Arabidopsis thaliana: one gene and its partners. The protein of the gene in region 1 interacts with the protein of each later gene in a biochemical or structural test. Each region holds a gene or a part of one and is shown on either strand. Other genes may lie near its edges.

Region 1 (4,020 bases):
AACGTCACTCTCACCGTTACTCTCACCGTCGGTACTCCTCCTCAAAACATCTCCATGGTCATTGACACTGGCAGTGAACTCTCCTGGCTTCGTTGCAACCGTTCCTCAAACCCAAACCCGGTTAACAATTTTGACCCGACCCGTTCCTCCTCTTATTCCCCAATCCCCTGTTCCTCACCCACTTGTCGTACCCGGACCCGAGACTTCCTCATACCCGCTTCTTGCGATTCAGACAAACTCTGCCACGCAACTCTATCCTACGCCGACGCTTCCTCCTCCGAAGGTAACCTCGCCGCCGAGATTTTCCACTTCGGAAACTCCACCAACGACTCCAATCTCATTTTCGGGTGTATGGGTTCCGTATCCGGATCCGACCCGGAAGAAGATACCAAAACAACTGGGTTATTGGGTATGAACCGTGGTTCCCTCTCTTTTATCTCTCAAATGGGTTTCCCCAAATTCTCTTATTGCATCTCCGGCACCGACGACTTCCCGGGGTTTCTTCTCCTCGGCGACTCTAACTTCACGTGGTTAACGCCGTTAAATTACACGCCGTTAATTCGTATCTCTACGCCGTTACCTTACTTCGACCGTGTAGCTTACACCGTCCAGCTCACGGGTATTAAAGTTAACGGTAAGCTTTTACCCATCCCTAAATCGGTTCTCGTACCGGATCATACCGGTGCTGGTCAAACCATGGTTGATTCCGGTACTCAGTTTACTTTCCTGCTTGGACCGGTTTACACCGCACTTCGATCCCATTTCTTAAACCGGACAAACGGAATCTTAACGGTTTACGAAGACCCAGATTTTGTTTTCCAAGGAACCATGGATTTGTGTTATCGGATTTCACCGGTTCGTATACGGTCCGGAATTCTCCACCGTTTACCAACAGTTTCTCTGGTTTTCGAAGGAGCCGAGATAGCGGTTTCGGGTCAGCCGCTATTGTACCGAGTCCCGCATCTCACGGTTGGAAACGATTCGGTTTATTGTTTCACATTTGGAAACTCCGACCTTATGGGAATGGAGGCTTACGTGATTGGACATCATCATCAGCAGAACATGTGGATCGAATTTGATCTACAAAGATCAAGAATCGGTTTAGCTCCGGTAGAATGTGATGTATCGGGTCAGAGACTCGGAATCGGATCGTAAACCATAGATAACCAGTGTGTAATTATAGTTTTTTGCCTACGTAGAAATGGTTTCTCTAGTAGAAAGGTATGCACGTGACTACAATGAGATTTGTGTTACGGACACGAGCGGGTGTGTAATAACTTCGAGTTTGGTAGTAGTTAGTTAGTTGTCTCTGTTTGCTTTTGACATGGTCTTTTCTTTGCGTAATTAATTTTTAGCTGAGAGTTATATCACAAAATCTTTAATCGTCATCAGTTTTGGACTTTTGAATCGCACTATGTTTTTTTTCGTTATTCAAAATAAAGTTACAAAAGTTAATGTTAAAAATCGCGAAAAAACAAACTTGTTTTGACCTATGTCAATCGCAAAAGTGTATATGTAGATTTGATCCTTTAACGGATCCCTCTAGTTACAACGACATGGATTCTTTTTGGGCGATCGTGTGTTTAAAGAGGCCCAAATTAATTTCACTAAAAAAGCCCATAATAACCAAGATTTGGGCATCAAACAGGTTCAAGTTGCTGACGAGTTAATAATTTGAAACGTCAGGGCCCACAATAGTCTCACTCCCACGTGGGAACATAACGCGGTTTACTGTCTTTTTCTTTAGTTCACGCGCCGTTGCACGTGCGGCCTCTGTCATGGGCCAACGGTTTCTCGCCAGGTCATGGCCGTGATTTGCAGTCGCCTCTGGTTGAGAACGCGGATTTGCTTTTCTCCTTTCCTTCTATACCGAACATTTGAACTTTTTTAATGAAAGAATATTCGGACACTAGAGAGTAGAGATCTTAATCACACTTCATCTCCAACAACAAAACTAATATCTGGAGGAAGAAAATTAATCTTCTAAGATCATGGATGATGCAGATAAGAGTTGTAGCCCATCGCTGGATCATAGGTTTTTCTTTTCAACAAAACATAATATCTTCTTTTTACTTATTTTTCCTTCTATGTTTTATACAAAACAACTCTATGTAAAGATTTAAAACTTGATCTCAAAACTTGTATCTTGAATCTGCAAAATCAACCCAAGTTTCTCTGCTCGAATTACTCTCTTTCGTTCTGCTTTGTACGTTTCCCGCAAGTTTTCATCTTCTTTAAATCTTAAACTTCCTGAGCTACATAGTATTGTGTCCTTAGATGTTTGCTGGTTTTCCTCACTATGTTTTAAGGTGAAGTGTGTGTTTGTGTGTAGTGTTTAGGATTTGTATTTCTACGGCAACTTGTTGATGATGACTTAAGAGATACTCAACACTTGGATCTTATCTTTACTATGGACAAATTTTACTTGTGGATTTAGATTGTGGACTAACAAGATTTATGATACTTTCTCTTTATCTCAGTGTGGTATCAATGAAAAATGTTAAGTCTTTTGTTGACTGGTGTGAATACTTTATGGATAGTTACTTGTAATTATGGATATGTCCCTTTATGGTATAAGCTGAGTGTTAGTCTTCTATTTATCCTTTACCTCTTTTTGTCTCATGGAAAATAAGTCAATTCATGACCTTTCACTAGATTAACCATATATGATTTCAGCGATATCAACGATCCGATGATAGTTGCTGTGGAATCTCTAGACACAAGCAAAAAGAGAAAACTGCATGCTGAAGAATCAGACTTGTTACCCTTACCAAAACACTTTTGTTCTGAGCATCAAGCCTCTCTTGTTAATTCTTCATGTCCATCATCAGTTATAGATTATGCAGAATGCTCTTATGCCATGGAGAACACAAAAACCAGCGATGAAGCCTCCTCTTCTGCATCTTTTACAGGCCCTTCTTTGTACATGTTTAAAGACTCTATTTATTCAACCGGAAGTTCTAGTTCTGGTTATGCTGCTACATCAAGCATAGAACAATGCTTTTCCAAAGTTGATCACAAAACACAAGAAGATACCCAAGACTTTACTCACATGGAATTCATTTATCACGACTCCGAATTTGCGGTCGAAGATCTTCAAGAGGTTCTGAATCCAGTTGAGTCTTATATTCTTTCTTCTGCAAGGTGGAGTGTCAGCAACCAAGGTAATCAATGAAAAGCTAAATGCTTTAGTGTCACGCATTGTGTATGGGAATTATTTGTGATTATTCTTTCACCATTTGGATTGCAGATTCCAAAGAAGCTACCACGAAACCAACCATTGATCAAGAGTTTGAGCAGTACTTTTCTACACTCATGATGTAAACAACAAGAATCTATCTACATATTTATCAATATCACTAATCACTGCAATGTTTATATAAATATTTCACCTTGTTTTTGAATAGAAACATATATAAAACCAGATCAGAACAAACCTTTTACATGTTCCCGATGTTGCAGACAAATGATCCATGGATCTCACCTTCAATACTACTATATAGTAGTCTTAGACACAAATGCTGAAACTATTCACAATGATCATTTCCCTTAACTACTTGTCCAATGCTGATCCGGTAAGGTTTATAGTGAAACATTGATGGGCATAAACATAGTAAAAACATTGAAAGCAAATTATCTCTAGAATCATAAAAAACAAAAGGAAAGATTATTGATTCAGAATAAAAAAGCATTAAAAAAACAAAATCCTCCAAAATCATATCTCTTAGCTTTCTTCCAAGAAGAAAGTTGCGAGCTCTTTCTCCAAATGTTCTTCGGTAGTTTTCTTCACTGCGAGAATCGGATGATAGTAATCAGAGTGAGTATCCATACACTTGGAAAACGTCCCAAAGAGTCCCGCACACTTAGTAACCAAATCTTTGTTCTTCTCAGCTTCCTCCTCAGTGAAATTGCAATCATCATTCCAAGCCGTAAATGATTCTTTGCAACCACCTCCTTTCATGAATTCTACAAACTTCTGATCTTCCTCTTCGTTTATTTCGTCTAGGGAAACAGTAGTTG
Region 2 (4,964 bases), on another chromosome or scaffold:
GTTTTCTCGTTGACTGTGGCATTGTACACGATTAACTGGTTTAACTGTTACTAGAAACTATGAAACCAAATTAAATATGGTTAGTTAAGGGTTTACCCGTTACAGCAGAAGAAAGCTCATCTTGGTTGTTGGCAACTGCATTTCCACGTCCATCATAAGCCAATCGTTTGCTCTTGATCATAAGAGGGTAACCGAAAAGTTCACCTGCTTTTCTTGCTCCTTCAATATCGCTTATCTGATGTGGTGAGGTTTAGGGGTAAAAACAATTAACAAACTCCTCATGATTCATGGAGAACTTAATGAGTGATTCTTTCAACAAAGTATAAACAAGGGCCTAACCTCCATAAATTCTGGAAGTGGGATGCCATGCTGAGAGAAATGAACCTTTTGCATGTATTTATCCTGGAACATCAAACTGCCACATATAAATAAAATTGCTGAAAAACTTTGACTATACATAACTCCATTTGATGAAATATTTGAGAGGTTATGAAACCTGTATTATCCTAATAGTAGAAGCTTTGGGTTGGCAATCCACTCCTTGTTTCTCAAGCTTCTCTAGTGTGTCCACGTCAACATGTTCAATTTCTACAGTTAAGACTCCACATCTAACTACGACAATAAACAAAAATAACCATAAATATTGTAATGAAAATAAGAATTGAGAACCTGAAGCATTCAAGAAACAAACAAAAGAAGAGACCTTTTTGCAAATTCTTCTACTGTAGCACTGTCGTCAAAGCTATCAACCATGTGACCGTAGGACAATGCACTTGCTGAACAATTTTTAGAAGGATCTAAAATCATCACTTTGATAGCCAACTGAGAAGCAGCTTGGCAAAGCATACGACCCAATTGTCCACCCCCAAGAACTCCCACAATTTTCTCAGAAACTCCATGGACATGTTTATTCTCGCGATTCTCACTTGCAAAGAGGAAAGATAAATAACATTAGAAATTCCTTCCCCAGTCTTACTATTTTCAAATCTTTGTGTCTAGTAACAGAGAAACGAGCAGGGAAGCACAGCTAGTTTCTATATTTTATTCGTCATTGCAATTGGTGTGATGCAATCTTAACCACAACAGCTATGCAACTTCTCATGTCCATGAAACTTACAAGAAAAGAGAAATTTTTCTTCATTTTCACAGATTAATATATGCAGGCTTAATTGATATGTGGTTTAAATACAACGACTTTCACCTTTCAGCTTAATTGATCCAATCTCGTTTATCTTTTAACACACCACAATAGCCAAGAAAATAATAAGAATCGAGAAAATACTTAAGAAGAATGGTTGACACCATTATACTCAATACAGGGGACATAGGTACCTGATAGGAGAAGCATCGTGAGAGCTACAGGGCACAGCTGAAGCCGTATTCAATTTCCCAGACGAAGAAGTGGGAAGCTTCTGCAAATTTGCCATAGTCAAACTCTGGAACGACTGCGTTCTGGTCACTGGAAAAGGTCCAACTCTGTAGGTGGAGCGAGAAGTGTGAAGGACTGGAGTTGTATTTCCAACGACAAGAACAGCAGCTGAGCTTTGTTTCAAAAGCAACATCTAGAATGCTATACAAAACGGAATACTTTTAGCACCGTTTTATAAATATGCAATCAAGTAACATGAAAAAGTATGGTAGACCACAATAGAGAATGAACTCAAGCAAAACCCAAGTCAACGTCAATAGCTAAACCAATGAAAACGACGTAAGAAGCTCATGTGAATGGATTCAAGTAACATTCTTAGAGTCAATAGCTAAACTAATAAAGCCGCAGCTTCAACTTGAGAGGAAGGCAAACCTGGGTGAGAGAAGCAGCTAGACAGAGAGAGAAGTCGGAAAGTCAGGTCCAAAGGTTAGATTTTTATAAAGCAAGTTCGATAATAGAGGTGGAAAAAAGCTTCTTCCGGATTTGGAGGCGGCGGCGAGGAGAGAGAAGATCGGTCTGACGGGGAGAGAAGAAAAGGTTTTTGAGAGGTTTTATACAAAACGCAGTCGAAAACCGGAGAAGCCTAATCCGTTTTATGTATAATTTGATTCGGTTAAGAAAACCGAACCGGGTATGATGAGATGTGGTTTTTGATTAGGCTCCACGATTTGATTTGGTCGCACCAAAGATCGGATTTTTATCAGACGGAAAGGAGGAGACGGAAGAAAATGCCGGTGAGAGTTGTTGAGAGCAACACGCCTGCTCAAGTTTCAGGTTTTTGATCGCTTCTTCAAGTTTTGAATTTAGGTTTGTTTGTTTATGTTCCCTCTTTGTGGCTCTCTCGCTCATTTGTTGAGATTTGTTGCCATTTAGGAACTGATCCTGGGAATCGATCACCACTTCCCCCTAGTTCACTTCTCGGCGCTGGCCAGGTACAACGATTAATGAATTAACAAAACATGTTATTTTGCAGAAATTTATTTCTAGGATTCGTATGATACTTGGATTTTTACAAGTTTTTCTCTCAAGTGTCTGACCATAGAGGTCTTGGGAATATTGGTTAGGACTAGAAAGAACTTTATTAGTTATGCTTGTGCATCTGTGGTTATGTATGCACACTCTTTTTATGAACATAACCTTATGTGTAAGCAGAATCTGAGTATACCTATAAAGACATTATCTTAGGGGTTTTTATGTGTAAAGGTGAATTTTCTCTCAAACTTGACAAGTTCTTACTTATGAATACTTGAAATCACAAGAATAGCTAATTTTTTTATTGTTGATTCTGTCGATTGGCTGTGGTAGTTATAGAAGAAACTTTGCTTCACAAGGGTTTGCTAGTATACTTTATGTGAAATTTGTGAGAGAGAGGCTATGGTAAGATGAGAAGGAAAGTTATAAGTTTCCATGATGTTTAGCTACTTAGGTTAGCATAAAAGAACTTAAAGATCTCGTGTCTCGTTGTTCAGGCACAAAGCATCATTCATAGGCAGGCAACAAACATCATGGGTCTAGTTACTTTCTTCCCATTAGATCTGCAACTTGTTCAAGTGTTCTGGTTGCATAACGATTCTCTAGTAATGCTGATTTTTGTTATACCAATTAGAAGTTGGCCTTGTCTGCTTTGATTGGCTTCATATCTTTTTCATGTTGACATGTATGCTTAATTCAAGTGCATTTGTATCTAGTTGGGATTGTATAACATTCATTGGCTCAAAGAGATTGTTTATTCATAATGAACCTAAAGATGAGGAACACACATGTTTTTATGCTGTGCTGCAGGCATTTTCTGGTACGCAAAATGTCTCTAATCAACAGAAGGAGGAAGCTTGGAGAGTCAACGTCCAGATACAGGGTATTGACCTTGAACATGGTTATCTTTGTGGCACCATGGAAGCTCTAAACGTTCCCATGGCAGACACTCCTGTAAGCCCTTACACTCTTACTCATTTTTTCTTCATATTGCTTCCCCTTGAATTTCTAATAGGGGACACGATTCTTGATTCTGTGAGTGTCAGGTCATAACATTCTGGGAAGGGGAAATCGTTGATGGAAAGAATTATACCTTTTACACCGGAAAATGGGAAGCAACGTATGTCCCAATTCCTATATTCTTGTAGATTTGAAACTGATGATTTCTTATCGTGAATAAATTTTTGAAAGTTTGTTTGTCACAGGAGGGAAGATGATATGAGACATTGGTCAAAGTTCCCGTCTTTTTCGCCTCTTCAGGTAACACTCGAGTAACATTGTTTGTATAGTCAGTAACATCTCCTAAGCAACGTTCTGGACTTAATACTGCAGGGACAAGTTGAATCTGATGGTGGCAGGCAATTGGATCTTAACAATTATCCTTATATATTTATGGTATAACTCTCAGTTTTTCCTATCGAATCCAATCATCATTTTCTCTCAAGTATTCCATAATTCCTGCAACTCGGGTTTATTTTTGTGGTGGTGCAGAGATGGAAAGAGCAATACTTTGTAAACGTTGGCACAGATTGTGGACTAACAATAGCTGGATTTTACTACGTATGCTTCTCCTGCAGCGATGGTTCCATCAGCGGTTTCTATTATGATCCAAACAGCAGGTTAGTCCAAGATACAAACTATATAATCTGTTGTTGTTTGAGATAAAACCTGATGATATTTTGTTTCTGGACAGTCCGTTTCAGAAGCTGGAGCTGAAAACAGTTAACGAAGGAAGATCTGGTTTCAGCTTTTCTTCTTACGAGTTGCAATGATGAATGCTACCAAAATCATCAGACAGCGCCATATGATACTCTCGTCTAAACATGCGATGCACGTGATCCAGTACATTATGACGTGTCAATTATTATAAATTATTAGTAAGATATTTTTTTGCTTAGCTAGTAGACCAGACCAAGTAAAGAACTAAAAATACTATTTTGTCATTATGGTACCAAGCTAATAGTTTATCTGGAAAAAGAACAAATTGTCCAAAAAAATAATTACCAAATAGTTGAGAAGTTTTTCTAAAAATTTTTGTAAAAAAAATCCAAATTCTTCTAAAATTAAGTTTTTAATAGAAATTTAAAAAGACAGTTCTACATCATATTATTTTCTTTAAATAATGATATAAAATTTATAAACTATTATCTTTGTAAGATAATGAATATTTATACCTATGTAAGGGAAAAATTGATAAATATTTATACATCCTCATCCAAAAGCCCATAAAATCGTTATGGGACAATAGTAAAAAAGATTGCAAAATCGTATGGAGCGAAAGATAAAAATAAAAAACGGTCCCGTGTAAGAAGATGGGTCACCTCGCCAACACGTAGACTCTTTTCACGCGCCAAATCAAACACCATGTCGACGAGATCAACGGATTCAAATGTTTCGTGTAATACACGCTCCAACGTAGCGCGTCGTACACTTGATGCTTAATTTATGTATTTTAAGTTACGCAGTTTCCAGATTTTCAGACCCTCTGAAAGTGGAAAGAGCATTTTTTAAAAGAGTAATAAGAAAAACAATTATCTTTGAACTCTCTCTATCTCTCTCTCTC
Region 3 (3,361 bases), on another chromosome or scaffold:
GATGGGTAAGTTACTTAGGTACGGTAGAGAGCTGTAGCTACCGGATTAGAGATGGGGTTTTCCAATGATGCGAGTTGGGTTTTTTGCATTATAGACTTGTTGGCTTTTATGTAGAACCGGTTCAAAGTGTCAGCACAAAAAACAAAGATTATTGTATCTCATTTTTAAAAGCATTTGTCATTGTTTGACTAACGCCTGTCTTCTCTAACCGTAAAACATGTGTTTCATTCAATGTTGAATGATGTTTTTATTTTGGTGCATAAAACTAAGCCATGTTTAACCTTCTTTGTCAACATATTTCATAAAGTTTTATCAACATACCACAAGGCCTAATGGTCGAAGGAGGAGAAGTTTTGTTGTAGACGAACAATCTAAAGTATCCTAGTTATCATAACATTAGATGTATAAAATTTATTCTCCGAGGGCTAAGGATTAAGTCATCATAACATTAGATGTATAAAATTTATTAGTCGTGTTTCATTGGGGATTAGTTTGACGGCAAATTATATTATGTTATCAAGACGACCAAGACAAGGTAGACACTTTTTTATTGTTTCCCTCTCAATTTTCTTTACTCGTCATTTTCCACAGGCCAAAAGAGCCAACAAGTAAAAAACAAAATCAGAGTATTTTTAAAATTGGGACAGGCCATTTCGATCGGGACAGAAGGAATTCAAATTGTTGAAATTCACAATATTCCTCAAATAACTCTTATTATTGGTCCACTTGTCAGTGTGAATGTAAGAAAAACATCGTGAGAGGAAAAAATATGAAATAATTACTAGCAGCAAATAGGAGCTCAATGTTGACTTCACTACAAAATTTTATAATTAAGAGAAAAAGAGCTCTCAAATCATATAATAATTATTTCAAGTACTTGTATTAGCAAATGCAATTTGTCTGCTTGCTAATGATGCTTTACGAAAAGATTAACAGATTGGATGATTCTCTATAATCATTACTTCATTATTCACAATCATTGGATTGAATCAGACAGATTATTCCACCCGGATGATCGTTTCTAACCAAAAAACTCATTGACGCGATTTAAACATAAATTAAAGAAGTCGTTAATATAAAATTCTTGCCGACATTTTAGAGATTTTTGGATATGAAGATGTTATCTGATTAGTGTGTAAATTCTTAAGGCATCGTCCATTATAAATGAAGTAAATATAAGGAAAACAAACAATAAGAAAACAAAGTGAAAGAACAAAAACAAGCAAAGATTCTTCTTTTTTTTTTTTTTTATAGGTAGGAATCTCAAATCTTATATATACTGAAAATTGCTAATTTATTTTAAGTTGGAACATTATATCAATAATTTAAATTTATCCAAGCAGACTTTTGACACCTAATTAATCCTTACATATTCCATTATGACTTTTCTCCTCACTGCTTATACAAATGCATACAGTATACTCATAAGAAATTAACACATAAATTATATCCCAAATTTTCATAAAAATAGAAATATATATGTCATTTGTCATTTACTCTAAGCAGGCCCATTTGGTCATTTCTTAACACCAAGTATGTAGGCTCTATCTGTGGACGTTTGGTGATATATATGTTGTCTCAATCACCATATATAGTATTGAGACATGTTTTCTTGTATCAGGACAGACAGCTGACTAAAGAGAAATGGCGAAGACGAAATATGGAGAGAGACATAGGAAAGGGTTATGGTCACCTGAAGAAGACGAGAAGCTAAGGAGCTTCATCCTCTCTTATGGCCATTCTTGCTGGACCACTGTTCCCATCAAAGCTGGTCTCTCTTTCATCTTCTTCTTTATTAGTTTTTAGTTTCTCAAACTGAGTCAACTTTGATAATTGTTGTTGGGATTTAATTTGATAGGGTTACAAAGGAATGGGAAGAGCTGCAGATTAAGATGGATTAATTACCTAAGACCAGGGTTAAAGAGGGATATGATTAGTGCAGAAGAAGAAGAGACTATCTTGACGTTTCATTCTTCCTTGGGTAACAAGTAAGTGTATCTCTAAGACCTAACCCTATTGTTTTAGCAGATGCTAGTTATAGAGAGACTAATGATTTAGGTGTAATTAGGTGGTCGCAAATAGCTAAATTCTTACCGGGAAGAACAGACAATGAGATAAAGAACTATTGGCACTCTCATTTGAAAAAGAAATGGCTCAAGTCTCAGAGCTTACAAGATGCAAAATCTATTTCCCCTCCTTCGTCTTCATCATCATCACTTGTTGCTTGTGGAAAAAGAAATCCGGAAACCTTGATCTCGAATCACGTGTTCTCCTTCCAGAGACTTCTAGAGAACAAATCTTCATCTCCCTCACAAGAAAGCAACGGAAATAACAGCCATCAATGTTCTTCTGCTCCTGAGATTCCAAGGCTTTTCTTCTCTGAATGGCTTTCTTCTTCATATCCCCACACCGATTATTCCTCTGAGTTTACCGACTCTAAGCACAGTCAAGCTCCAAATGTCGAAGAGACTCTCTCAGCTTATGAAGAAATGGGTGATGTTGATCAGTTCCATTACAACGAAATGATGATCAACAACAGCAACTGGACTCTTAACGACATTGTGTTTGGTTCCAAATGTAAGAAGCAGGAGCATCATATTTATAGAGAGGCTTCAGATTGTAATTCTTCTGCTGAATTCTTTTCTCCATCAACAACGACGTAAATTGCGTTTATTGTAATGTAAATCAAATTTCTAAGGCAAAACCGGAAAAAAAATGTTTTGTTTTTTGTTTTGTCTTAAATGCTTTGACACCAATAAGGCAAATAGCATATATGGTTAAAGGAATGGCAATATGAAAGAAAAGAAAAGAAAAGAAAATGATTTAAAAGATTCATCAATATCATTGAAGATTTTACACACCAGAAGTAGCAAAGCCGTAACACACAAAGCTTTTCGCTACAAATGCATCATACATAAATGGAGTTTTGAGAGTACAAGGGGCGATACAGATGTAACGTGGAATGTAGAAAGTGTTTTATATAGCAGAATAACTGAAGTCAACACTATCATCATTGGAGACGGAAGGAGAAGGAGAAGGAGACTCAGCAGAAGCAGTGAGTACCACAAAGGCACCAAAGAGAATAGTGATAATGGCCGTGAAGTTGATAAGAAATGCTTCGGATCCATACTTGTCAAGCCCTCCATTCTCCAAGAAAGTCAGCTTTTCCAGAAACCCTAAAGCTGCATTCCCGACAGCAAGTATGTAAACAAACAGGCCAAGCATTGCGTGCCACGGAAGCAATCCGCTTTTCAAATTTGTTGATCCTCCTGGGAAGAAGAACACTATGAAGCTGTACACCCACTGTAAAGTTCAAAACTCTTGTTCTGGTCAGGAACAATATACAACAATAGGTAAAAAC

Evidence for each region.
Region 2: the proteins of FHL (region 1) and AT2G37680 form a complex in vitro, tested with the Arabidopsis thaliana proteins (one study listed by BioGRID).
Region 3: the proteins of FHL (region 1) and LAF1 form a complex in vitro, tested with the Arabidopsis thaliana proteins (one study listed by BioGRID).

The regions. Positions count from the first base shown.
Region 1 is NC_003076.8:435,529-439,548, forward strand, and holds FHL (far-red-elongated hypocotyl1-like protein), read left to right. Parts: upstream 1-1,836; 5' UTR 1,837-1,991; coding exon 1,992-2,035; exon of another isoform or gene 2,036-2,676; coding exon 2,677-3,164; intron 3,165-3,250; coding exon 3,251-3,324; 3' UTR 3,325-3,491; downstream 3,492-4,020. Other genes in the region: PCS1 (Eukaryotic aspartyl protease family protein), read left to right, coding at 1-1,155; AT5G02210 (GCK domain-containing protein), read right to left, coding at 3,725-4,020. UniProt on the Arabidopsis thaliana protein: Can activate transcription. Essential for light-regulated PHYA nuclear accumulation and subsequent PHYA phototropic signaling processes. PHYA-specific signal transducer in response to continuous FR lights.
Region 2 is NC_003071.7:15,802,709-15,807,672, reverse strand, and holds AT2G37680 (glucose-induced degradation-like protein), read left to right. Parts: upstream 1-1,999; 5' UTR 2,000-2,070; coding exon 2,071-2,203; intron 2,204-2,302; coding exon 2,303-2,361; intron 2,362-3,211; coding exon 3,212-3,355; intron 3,356-3,447; coding exon 3,448-3,521; intron 3,522-3,606; coding exon 3,607-3,661; intron 3,662-3,733; coding exon 3,734-3,796; intron 3,797-3,892; coding exon 3,893-4,020; intron 4,021-4,094; coding exon 4,095-4,173; 3' UTR 4,174-4,430; downstream 4,431-4,964. Other genes in the region: AT2G37690 (phosphoribosylaminoimidazole carboxylase, putative / AIR carboxylase), read right to left, coding at 97-235, 340-402, 497-608, 704-925, 1,333-1,562.
Region 3 is NC_003075.7:13,050,911-13,054,271, forward strand, and holds LAF1 (myb domain protein 18), read left to right. Parts: upstream 1-1,592; 5' UTR 1,593-1,644; coding exon 1,645-1,771; intron 1,772-1,817; exon of another isoform or gene 1,818-1,858; coding exon 1,859-1,988; intron 1,989-2,068; coding exon 2,069-2,663; 3' UTR 2,664-2,832; downstream 2,833-3,361. Other genes in the region: ACYB-2 (Cytochrome b561/ferric reductase transmembrane protein family), read right to left, coding at 2,977-3,303. UniProt on the Arabidopsis thaliana protein: Transcription factor that promotes photomorphogenesis in the light by participating in the transmission of phytochrome A (phyA) signals to downstream responses. Probably acts by activating expression of light-induced genes.